Linked DNA regions of Canis lupus familiaris. The protein of the gene in region 3 interacts with the protein of the main gene of each other region in a pairwise test. Links are inferred from orthologs where the notes say so. Each region holds a gene or a part of one and is shown on either strand. Other genes may lie near its edges.

What was found.
Region 1: the proteins of ATF4 (region 3) and EGLN3 interact in a two-hybrid assay, tested with the Homo sapiens proteins (2 studies listed by BioGRID). The link is inferred for Canis lupus familiaris from reciprocal best matches to the Homo sapiens genes ATF4 and EGLN3.
Region 2: the proteins of ATF4 (region 3) and CCDC106 interact in binary tests that used the Homo sapiens proteins (3 or more experiments, as listed by UniProt). The link is inferred for Canis lupus familiaris from reciprocal best matches to the Homo sapiens genes ATF4 and CCDC106.

The regions. Positions count from the first base shown.
Region 1 is NC_049229.1:13,056,958-13,060,700, forward strand, and holds the start of EGLN3 (prolyl hydroxylase EGLN3), read right to left. Parts: upstream 2,740-3,743; 5' UTR 2,404-2,739; coding exon 2,047-2,403; intron 1-2,046. UniProt on the Homo sapiens protein: Prolyl hydroxylase that mediates hydroxylation of proline residues in target proteins, such as PKM, TELO2, ATF4 and HIF1A. Target proteins are preferentially recognized via a LXXLAP motif.
Region 2 is NC_049222.1:102,860,728-102,864,470, forward strand, and holds the start of CCDC106 (coiled-coil domain-containing protein 106), read right to left. Parts: upstream 2,399-3,743; 5' UTR 2,252-2,398; intron 1,834-2,251; exon of another isoform or gene 1,573-1,833; intron 1,504-1,572; exon of another isoform or gene 1,127-1,503; intron 998-1,126; 5' UTR 953-997; coding exon 922-952; intron 778-921; coding exon 670-777; intron 576-669; coding exon 399-575; intron 1-398. UniProt on the Homo sapiens protein: Promotes the degradation of p53/TP53 protein and inhibits its transactivity.
Region 3 is NC_049231.1:26,489,908-26,493,650, forward strand, and holds ATF4 (cyclic AMP-dependent transcription factor ATF-4), read right to left. Parts: upstream 2,461-3,743; 5' UTR 2,247-2,460; intron 1,639-2,246; 5' UTR 1,547-1,638; coding exon 1,321-1,546; intron 1,228-1,320; coding exon 401-1,227; 3' UTR 316-400; downstream 1-315. UniProt on the Homo sapiens protein: Transcription factor that binds the cAMP response element (CRE) (consensus: 5'-GTGACGT[AC][AG]-3') and displays two biological functions, as regulator of metabolic and redox processes under normal cellular conditions, and as master transcription factor during integrated stress response (ISR).

The DNA.
Region 1 (3,743 bases), on a different chromosome or scaffold from region 3:
TCTTCGACTCTTAATAATTGTTGGCTCAAGTCTGGTTTACAGCTGGTTCCAGTTGGCCACGGAATAGCCCAACCTAGAGGTGATTTTTCTAAAGGACAGGAATGAAAAGCTTTGTGCCAAAACAGCTCAAGAAAAGCCAGAAATCTAGGTATGGACAAGAGATGACTTTTCTCCTTTCAATTCAGTCACCTTCTGAAAGGGTTAATTGAGAAGCTATTTGTTCTACCCAGAAGATAATCTATAACTGAAGAATCTTATCTAGAGATCTTTTTCCTTACCCAGACATACAGTGTTTCTCCTCCAGTCTGTGGAGTCAATTTATAGTCAAAGCTAAATACAAATACTTAACTTTCAAATTTGTTAGTGACGACTTTCTACCAATTAATCCTGACCTCCCTCTGAGCAAATTACGTTCCTAGAACGTTGGGGGTAAAATTCTTAGCACCTGAGTTGCAATGAAACTTGCAAAACTGATAAGAAGCCATCTGCTCTTCCAGACTGAGGCAACAAGCACTTCTGTAACACTGAGGCTAGCCCTCCCCCCCCCCCCCCGCCCCCCATTCCAGCCCCAGGAGGCAAGGTCATTCAGTGCAAAAACAAAACTAACCAAGACAAATGGCTTTCTAATCACTAAAATGATAAAAGAGTAAAACACTTCCATGTCAATCTTGTACAGAGTCCAGGCAGCTGAGTTTTCCCCAAATCAAAATAAAACTTAGAAAGCAGCATTTTCTCCCAAGATTTACTTTATTTGCGTCTGATTAACAAGTGCTTTCAGACATTCTATTCATGTCCTCCTGGCTTTGAAAGGCATATAGTCGTGTGTTTCTCCTCTACTCTGTTCCCCCACTCCAATGGGTCCTTTCTACCCATTTTCAGTCTTTCACTTGCCCTTTACTAAAAGTATCCCCTCGGTCTATGAGGCAAATGAGACAATAAAGGTATGTTTTATCAAAGGGTCGATCTAAACTGAGAAATGGTATAGATATTGTTAAAGATTGGTGCACCTTTCTTCTCATGCTAGCATGCCCTGCCTCCTCCTGTGCTAAAGTTTTCTACGGCTCTGGGTGCACCTTGACCAGTCTGCAATAAAAGTGCAAATCACTCGGAACTGCCACTGGAGAATGGCCGGGTTAGCATTTGTAGAAAAGGCTGAGTAGCTGGACTATCCCAAAGTAACATACACAGACCAACATCGTGGTACCACGGCTCCCATATTTCTGCCAATCTACCTGGAAACGTTTCCAAGATAAATTACCACCCAGGGAGTCACTTCTGGCTGTGGTGAACAAAAACAGGGTTTCTTTCCAGAGGTACCTGACTACACTCTCCCCATCACTTAACTGGTTGTTTTGGGTAGATTTCTCCACCAATGGATAGTTCGGAAAGGGAAGGTGGTGGCGTAGGGCTCAGCAGCAGGACAGATTTTGCTCAGCCAGGGAGCCCGTCTAGTAGTGTGCAACAAGCCAAGGGCAGCACCAAGCCAAGGGCAGCACTCAAAAGTGCAGACCAGCTTTACTCTCTCTCAGGTCAAACTTGGTCACATCTGCCAAACTCCACACACCAAATGTCACCCTGAAAAACATCACAACTGTCTCCAGAATTCTTTAAGAGGAATACCCTCTGAACACAGATGAGGTACAGTATTAGGGGACTTTTAAAGTGGACACATCTAATATCATGACTTCGCACGTGTCTCCCATCATACGCAATGTTTCCAATAACCTGTCCCTCATCTGGACCTTTGGGAACCTCCACGGATTAAAACCAGCCCAGAAAACCGCAGCTTGCCCGGTGTGTACCACCCACGAGACCCACTGTTTCAGTTAACAGAAGGTCATGGTAATCATACACCTGAGTCCCTCAGCACGGATTTTCGCTGGGAGGCGGGGTGGGGGAGGGGGACCCGGACTGACTTCTTGCTCGTCGGTTAAAAGCTAAAGTTCACTCGCAGCCCAGCGAAGGCAACAGACACGGGCTCCGAAGGTCCCCAGTCCCCGGGCGCTACGGCGGCGGCGGCGGCGGCGGGGAGCCCGCGCGTCCTACCTTGGACCTTTCCTTGACGTAGTATTTGCCCAGCCGGCTCCCGCAGTACAGGACGAGCCTGTCGATGAGCGACAGGAGGAAGCTGATGGCCTCGCAGCCCTCCTCGTTGCCCCCGATCCACGTGATCTGGTCGCCCCGCAGGTGCCGCTTAGAGACGCCGGCGCGCGGCCCCGCCAACTGGCCGTCCCGCAGGGCCCCGTTGCAGTGCAGCTGCTTGACGCGTTCCAGGACGCAGTCGCCCACCACCTCGCCGAGGAAGTTGTCCAGGTAGCAGAAGCCGACCTCGTGCAGACAGGGCACGATGTACTCCAGGGCGATTTTCTCCAGATCCAGCCTCATGATGTGTCCCAGGGGCATCTCGCCCTCAGAGCCAAGCTCGGGGATCCCCAGCGTGCACCGAGACCCGGAGCGACCTGCGCGCGCGCAGCCGAGGCGCGGGGAGCGCGGCCCGGGGTTCAGCTACCTGCGGCGGCCACGGTCCCCGAGCCACCGCCGCGCCAGGGAGAGGGGAAAGTTGTTCGAAACTCTGGGAGGCGGGATCCCTTCCCCTTCCGAGACCGGTGGGAGCTGCGCGGGGATCCACGACCTAGCGCCGGACTGGCCCAGCGAGGAGTCGGCGGGCCCCTTTTGGAGATGCGGAGCCGCCACTGGTGCCGCGGCGGCCCCAGGCGGGGAGAGGCGGAGGTCCAGCCCCGGAGCCGGCCGACTCGGCGCGTCACGGGCCCCGCCCCCGGCCCCGCCCCGGCCCCGCCCCGGCCCCGCCCCGGCCCCGCCCCGGCCCCGGCCCGCCCCAGGCCGCGGCTCCGCCCCGCCCCCCGGCCCCGCCCCCGGCCCCCGCCCCGCCCCCGGCCCGGCGCCCACTCCCCGACTACTGCTGCCCGGCGCCAGCCTCGGTTGTTTGTGACTAAAGGACTGGAAAACATACGGAATTTTTAGAATGCTACCGATTTGCATATGTTTTGCATAAAAGCCCATAACAAACTTGAAGGATCCCAACTCTGAAAATGTAAATGAAATTAGCACAGTTTACTGCCACGGTCTGGGCTGGTCACCTCTTGAACAGAATAACAAACTCAGAAACAGATACGTGTGTTGAACAGTGATCCAGGTCTAGCTTTACCTGGTGCCTTGCCTTATTCCTCTTTCATCTGCTGTTTGACCCAGGTCAGGAGACTCAAGCCACTCAGAGAGTGGGATAAATCCAGTTTAAACGAAAATTAAACATTCCCCTAACCCTCGTGTCCCCACCCCCACCCCCCAAAGCCCTGTGTCCTCTCCCTGGGGGGGGGGGGGGGGGACGGGAGAGAGGAGGAGGAGATGTGTACAATGAAGAAATGCTGGATATTATCTGATTGAACCCTGAAAATGCTGTATTTTGCTTCGCTGCATGTTTTCATCCACTTCTCTTTCAAGCTTCTTATTAAAATAGGATGTTCTGAACCTCTGCCTTCAGAATTAATCACATGCTCATGTAACAGCCATATAAGTATACCCCCCAAAAGACACACTAAATTCTAGTCTCCAATCTCACCTTTTCTCCAAGAAACTACACTTTACTCAGGAGGGATGGACACCACCTAAAAGACTTTTTTAGTTATTCAAAGGTAAGCTGATTGCTTTATGGGTTTTTCATTCCCTTTCCTACCAAACACCAGAGATTAGAATCAGGGGGAAAAGATTCCTAAATTGCATGCAAA
Region 2 (3,743 bases), on a different chromosome or scaffold from region 3:
TGGTTCCAGAGCAAAGGGGTCCCCAGTAACACAGATGCTGAGAAAACAGAGCCCTTGCCCAGGCTGTCAGGTGATTCACAGGGGGATATGGAGTCCTGGGAAAGAGCCAGGCAAGGGCTGAACATCATGCAGAAGGGAGAAGTTAGACTCCCCAAAACAGGGAAGTTAGACTTCCCAAAGATTTGGGAAAGGAAAGCCCTGACATGGCCACAGGGTCCTGCCCATCAGCAAAGGCAGGAGTCAGGAAGGAAGCAAGCTGATCTTTGGGGTCTGGGAGATGGCCTGGGGAGCAGGGAAAGGACAAAAGATGCCAAAGGAGAAGAGTAGGTGAGGAAGGGTCATGAATCCCAGAGGAGGGCCAAAGCAGACATGAGGGACCAGCTCCTCAGGCACCTGACCTGCATCCATGCGGGCAGAGGATATAAACTTGTCTAGCTGACACCGCAAGAAGTCCCTCTCCTCCTCCAGGTCCTCAATGCGCTTCTGTAACCAGGAGTTCCTCTCCAGGGCCATGTGCAGCTGGGCCCTGACACCATTCATCAGGGCTACTGTCGGGGATGGGGCCTCCGGAGACTCTAGGGACAGGGGGGGGAGCCTTGGTCACACCCAAGGCCTCCAGGGCCCTATACCCCAGACGGCTGGGGTCCCTCCACGCCGCCCCCAGCTCACCCTCGAAGTTTCCCCGAGAGGGGCTCAGACTGTAAAAGATCTGTGGGTCTAGGTGGGGCGTCTCATCGAAGGGGATGGAGATCTCGAAGGCCTCATCGTCTTTCTTCACTGGAGAGGAGAGGCCAGGGGTCACCCCAGGGAAGGCACCTGGGACCAGCCCCCAACCACAGCAGCCCCGGTGAGGGAGGGGACAGGGTGGTAGGGGACAGGGAGGGGAGCTCCAAGGGTGGGGCAGGGTCCCAGCTTCCTCACGTGTCCTCCTCCGGCTGTTTGGGTCATTCATGGCGTGGCCTCCTGTGGACCCAGGCAGCTGAGCGCCTCAGGGGCACTGGACAGAAAGGAGAGCCGCAGATGGAGGCACATCTCAGAGGAAGTGGGGAAGGGGTGGCATAAGGGGGAACGCCTGGGGTGTCACAGTCCTGGGTTTCTAGGGAACTAGGGGGCTGGGCACCCAGACCTCGAGCTCCTGAGGGGAGGAGTGGGTTCCCCGCGGGGCCGCCCGAGCGGAGACTTTCTGGCCTGGATGGTGCGGCCCCTCATCACGGGTCACCTCGGAGCCAAAAGAAGCGAGAGGCGCGGCAGGGAGGGGACCGTGCCCCAACTTCCAGCCATGGGGCGGGGATCCATCCCACGCGCTGCGCCTCCCCACGACCCTCCCCCGCACTCGTGTGGGCGAGCAGGGCCCCTCCCCCGTGGTGGAGGGGGCGGGGCGCGTGCGCAGTGCTGGGGAAGGTCACGCTTGGGGATGCGCCCCCGCCCCCGCCCTTTGTCCCCCGGGTGGGAGGGGGAGCGAGGTTGGCCGGGGGTCTCAGCGGGAGATTCACGAGGTCCCGGGTGCAGAGGCGGCCACCACCCCCCGCCCACAGCTGCCCGGGGCCGGAGGGGCCAGAGCCCCGCGCTCACCCACCCGCGCGCGGAATCCGGCCAGGGGACCGACAGCGGCGGCGCCCATGCCCGGCGCCGGGGAGCGTCTGCAAAGTGTCGCGGGGAGTGGAGGGAAGTGCCCACCCGCCGCGGACAGGCGGGACGGCAGAGACTGCCAGTCTCCCTCGGGGCGGTGGGAGGCGGCAGGGACGCTGGCGCTTCCCGATCTGCGGGGCGTCGCGCTTCTCCGGGAGCCTCTGGCCCCAGGTGAGGCCTGCCGTTTGCGGCAGAGGCGCGGGCTGCACTTGCGCGACGGCCCCTTGCCGCACGACCCCGCCCTCCGCGAAGCCCGGCCAGGGTGCGTCGAGAAATTCCCAATTCCTGGAGAGCAGCGGCTCCGGGATCCCCGGGGTGGGTGGCGACGCACCGGGAAAGTTAAGACCCGACACCTTGAGAACTGCCTTACGGACCCGCGCAACCCGCCCCTTCATCTCCCACAGATGGCTCCTAGGACCGGGGAGGGGGCGGAGTAGCGTGACCGACCCTGAACGCATGGGCCTGTAGCAGCACCCGCATCGCCCAGGTGGTAGCGGGTCTGAGCTGGCATTGGAGCACTTGGACCTGACCCCGCCCCGGTTTACCCACCTTGTACCGTGGGGAGGTTAGGATCCTGCTAGGTGCGCTGGGAAGATGTACTAAGAGAGTGCAGTTTACTCACCTGTGCAGTCGGGAGGCTAGGATCCTGCTATGTGTGCTGGGAGGATGTACTGAGAAGGTGCAGGCAAAGCGCTCAGCCCAGCGCCTGGCCATGGTCCAGGATCAGGATCCGGGCTCTGGAGGTGTCATTTAAGGGCAGGCAGTGGGAGGCTCTTTACCTCTCTGGGGAGTGGGGATGGCTAATTTGTTCTTCCACCGAAAAAGAGGTCGGGAGAAGAAATGAGGCCCAGCACAGTGCCTGGCACGAATCAGACGCGCAAGGAAAATTCGTTAAGAAGGCAGATGTTTATTGAGCTTGCGGCTCTGCTCCCTGCCTTTCTGCCTGGTCACCAGTTGCTCCTGGGATTTTTGCCAGCCCTATGACAGTAGGGCTTGAACTTTGCAGAAAGAGAATTGAAATGTTTGCACCGCTTAGAAAGCTGTGGCCACCCTTCTCTCCTACCTGCTTCACAGTATAGATAAATTGCAGCCTGGGTCAGGACGTCCAGGGGGAGGCACCTGCCCTAGATCCGTGTTTTGCAAACCACAGGTTCATGGGCAGGGAATTCAGTATAATAGGACAGAATTGGCAGGAGAGAAAAAAAAAAGTGAGCTGCATATGGCAGATATTAAGTATTGTTAAAGTTTTGTCTGACATATATTTTTTGTATCTTATACTGGGTTGCCAGATAAAATGTTTCTTACAATAGGTCCTAGCTTTAAAAAAAAAAAAAAAAGGCTTAAAACACTGCTTAGGTGATACACGTTGTGAGGAGCCACACTAGGACTGACCCCTTGCGGAAGGCTGACCTCCCATCTGCCACCAGGCAAGCCAAGCACTGCGGAGGCACTGGTAGGACCCATGCAAAATGCTCAGCCCAACATGTGGCAATGGTCTAGGCTCAAGATCAGGGCCCTGTTAGTGTTATTTGAGGTCAGAAAGTGGGAGACTCTTTCCTTCTCTGGGGAAAATAAATGGCTGACTTGTTCTGCCCAAAAAGAGGTGGGCCAGGCACTTGCTGAGTCTGTTAGGCAGCAGGCAGGTCAAGCTGCTGTCCCCAAAAACAAATCTCAAGTGCTCAAAATGGGAAAGGTGTTTATTGGGTATCCAATCTGAGGCCCTGGCTGGGGGTTGGGAGGTGGTTCCGGTCCCCTTCCCCCAGCATCAACATGGAGGCCTCAGAAAGCTGCTGCAAATTCTTGATGGCTCCCAACCACCTCTTTCAAGCTGGAGGACTTCCACATGGAGCACTCTCCCCCCACACCTCGGGTCAGGGCTCAGCCTGAGGCTGGAGGGCTCCACTTGGAATGCAAGGTGTAGTTTCCATCTTATCTCCACCACACAGAGGCTACTCATGGGCTCCTCCTTCAGGCAGGGCTTGGCCTTTGCAGGAGGTGTGTCTGTGTTCCTGTCCAGGGCTGCAACCAGCCCTCAGCACTGGCCAGGTGTCTGAGGGTGACAGGAGTCCAGGTTCCCCCAGAACACCATGGCATCTGGGGTACCCTGCAGCCTG
Region 3 (3,743 bases):
ACTGGCTAAGAATTTCTGCATCTCTTTAAAACTCCTTTAACAGTCCATTCCAAGAAAAACCCAAAGACCTTTTCTTTGCAGTTCCAGGATTGAGTTTACAGAACTTGAGTTCAAAGTGGAATTTAACCTTGTATGCCCAGGTGGGGCCTTACCTGGGTACTCAAGACTAGTCAGTGTTATGGCTTATGAGGCCACAGCCTCACCCCCAGAGTCTCCTGTGGAGGCCCTGAGCCCAACAGGATTGAGCCAACTCCACTTGACTTGGTCACCATCACCAGGGTAGAGATTAAGACAAGAAACCAGGTACACACGAGCTCAAGTACTTTCACTACAAAATAATTTATTACAACACAGCTTCAGCGCAAGCCTATGTACAAGCACACATTCCTGACACCCCCAACTAGGGGACCCTTTTCTTCTCCCTGGCCTTTCTGACCTCCTCTATCAAATCTTTCAGATACTGGATCTCCTTAGCTAAAGAATCTGCCCTCTCCTTCAGAGCCTCGTTCTTCTTTTCCAGTTCTTTACACTCACCAGTGAGGGCTTCCTGCTCTGCCCTCTTCTTCTGGCGGTACCTAGTGGCTGCTGTCTTGTTCTGCTCCATTTTTTTCAGTTTCTTATCTAGTTTCTCAACCTTTACTTTTGCGGTCTTCTCTCCAGGAGGGTCATAGGGTTTGGGGCGGGCAGAACCACAGAGGGAACCTGGAGACAGCAGGCTCCTATTTGGAGAGCCCCTGGAGGTAGAGGGGCTATGCTGGGGGGACCCAAGATAGGACTCAGGACTCATACAGATGCCACTGTCATTATCTGAGGGGGCATCTTCCTCCTTTATGCACTGAGGGATCACGGTAATGTAAGCAGTAGAATCTGACTTTCTATCTCCTTCAGAGATATCCACTTCACTGCCTAGCTCTAAACTAAAAGAATGATCTGGAGTGGAGGACAGGGCCCCTGGGGAGAGTGGAAGTGGTTGCAGAAAGGTAAAGGGGGCAATCTGGTCTGTTTTTGGTAAACTTTCTGGGAGATGGCCAATTGGGTTCACGATCTGAGGGGGCTCCTTATTAGTCTCCTGGACTAGGGGGTCAAAGAGATCACACGTGTCATCCAACGTGGCCAAAAGCTCATCTGGCATGGTTTCCAGGTCATCTATACTGAACAGAGTGTCAAAATCAAACTCCTTCAGATCCATTTTCTCCACCATCCAATCTGTCCCGGAGAAGGCATCCTCTGCAAAAGAGTCAAGAAGGAACCCGAGAGGTCAGACGCACACTTCAGCAACAGCCCGGAGACCAGACCCGGCGGCCAACGACCCCCACTCACCCTTGCCGTTGTCTGAGGCACTGACCAACCCATCCAAAGCCAGCCATTCGGAGGAGCCCGCCTTAGCCTTGTCGCTGGAGAACCCATGAGGTTTGAAGTGCTTGGCCACCTCCAGGTAGTCGTCTAAGAGACCTAGGCTTTCCTCAGCCCCCAAACCCGACTGGTCGAAGGGGGACATCAAGTCCCCCACCAACACCTCGCTGCTCAGGAAACTCATCTCGGCCATGTCGCGGGACTTTACTGGAATCGAGGAATGTGCTTAATTCGAAGGTGTCTTTGTCGGTTACAGCAACGCTGCTGCTGGATGCCGTGAAAAGCCTGAAACGGAAGCAGAAACCGAAACCCCTTCGACATCGGCCGGTCCGGGAAGCTCATCCCTTCCTCCCGGGGGCAGGACGGCCAGACTGGAACTCCACTCGGGAGCAGAGGCTCGGGGACACGTGGCCCCGGGGCCATGGCTTCCACCTTCCCCGCGGCCCCGTCGGGCCGCCCAAGATGGACGCCCTCGGGGCCGGGCCGCTCCTCCCCCCGCCGCCGGAGGAGGCGCGCCCGGCTCATGTCCAAATACGGCCCAGGCCGCCCGGCCCCGCCCACGGCCGCCCGTGACTCACGCTGCGCCGCCGCCGCCCTGCCCGGCCGCCATCTTGGCCCCTGCCACGTTTCGCGGGGGGCCGGGCGGGAAGCCGTCGGGGGCCGCGGCCGGGGCCGGGGCCGCCGAGGGCTCGCTTCTCCCCGCCGGGCCGCACTCTCCTGACCCAGAAGCGTCGGCGTCTCGAGGACACCCAAACAGGGGCCACGCGTCCCGGGCGCTCGTAAAGCCGCTTCCCCCTACGCGGCACCGCCCCGCCCCGCCGCAGGCCGCGCCCAGGCGGGCCGACTGCCCTCGCCGACCCGGGGGAGCACGGCGCGGGCGGCCCCGTACTTACGCCATGGCTTAAGCCGCTGGGGGGTGCCGCTGCAGAGCCTGGTGCTGCTGCCGCCGCTGCAAAGGCCAATGCTGCCGCAGGCACTGCTGCCTCTAATACGCCATGGCGGCCGCGGACCCTGGGGGATTGGAGGAGGGAAGGCGCACGCTTGCCACAGGGATCTACATCTACAGGCGGGAGGAAGGGAAATGGCCGCGCCGCGCCGATCGAGGGTCCTTTATAGACTTTGCCTCTATGAGGACGCATCACACCGCACATCCTTCCGCCGCGGTCACGTGACCCGCGCCTCCCACCCACCCGTCTTCGCGATCCGACGCCCCTATCGTGTCCGACCAGCGACTTTTAGGTCCACGGCGTAGCTGTGAAGAGAAGAGTTGTTACTTCCAACGTCTCGAGAAAGGAAAAAGGCGCGCTACTTTGCAAGGCTACTAAGATCAAAGAGCCTCTCCTCCCTCTGCCGCCGGGAGCGCGGAGGGATTCCTCAGACACACCTCGCTTCCGGCGTCAGCCTGGGGGGCGGGGAGAGAAGTCTTTCACCTCAAGGAAGGTTTTTATTGTGAAGTCAGAGGCCGCCTGGTTATCGCGCGAGATGCTGGCGGAGAGCGAGCGTCGAGCTGATTGGTTAGACATGGTGAGTCATATATATCTCGGTTTCCTATTGGCTCAGACCCCGGGATGGGCGGGCCGCTCCGAGCGGGAGGCCGGGTCCGAGCGGGAAGGGGCGGAGCGGCCAGCGGGGTTCCCGCCGCCGGGCTGTGTCCTCCGTGGCCGCGTCTCGGTGAATCCGCTCTGTAGTGGCTTCTTGAGCCTGGCGTACGCGAGGCTGTCCGAGACGACCCTGGCTCCTCCCCCGGGCTTCTGGAGCCCGAGGAGTCCCAAACGGCGACATCAGGCCCTGGCCCCTGTGGTCCCTTCCTGCCACCCTCCGTCCAGCTCCGAATTAGAGACCCAAGTTCAGGCCCGAGATGAAACTAGGCAAAAGGAAGTGGAATTTCGGGTGCGTTTTCATCACACGCAAGCACCGAAGTAGCTGAAAGGGGAGACTGAGGGCCTCAGTCGGGTTCTAAACGCTCCCCACACACCGTCAGGGGCCAACGCCGCGTCCTTCCCGTGAACTCTCCAGTCCGGTCGGGAAGGTGCACAATCTAGCCCAGTTAGTGACTCTCGCATACCGGCCTGCCAAAACGTTTCTGTTAAAAGTATGCAGTCTATCACAGGGAACTTCTTTTGGTTTATACAGATGCAGTTCCCCTAAGAGATTTTGTTAAACTGGTATCTGTCCCTCTCCCAATTCTGCAACCTGGTGGGGGGAGAATCTTGAGCACCCACGCCCACTCACGGAGGTTTGGAGGTTCGTGTTTGGAAGCGGCGGTCCAGGTCAAGGCCTGCAACTTGCTCTCCACCGGAGAGCTGTGAAGAGTGCCGGGAAAGGTCTCCACTATCCTCCGTCTCCTTCAGGCCCCTGGAGGGCAGAAACCTTGGAGTTTCTGCCTCCGT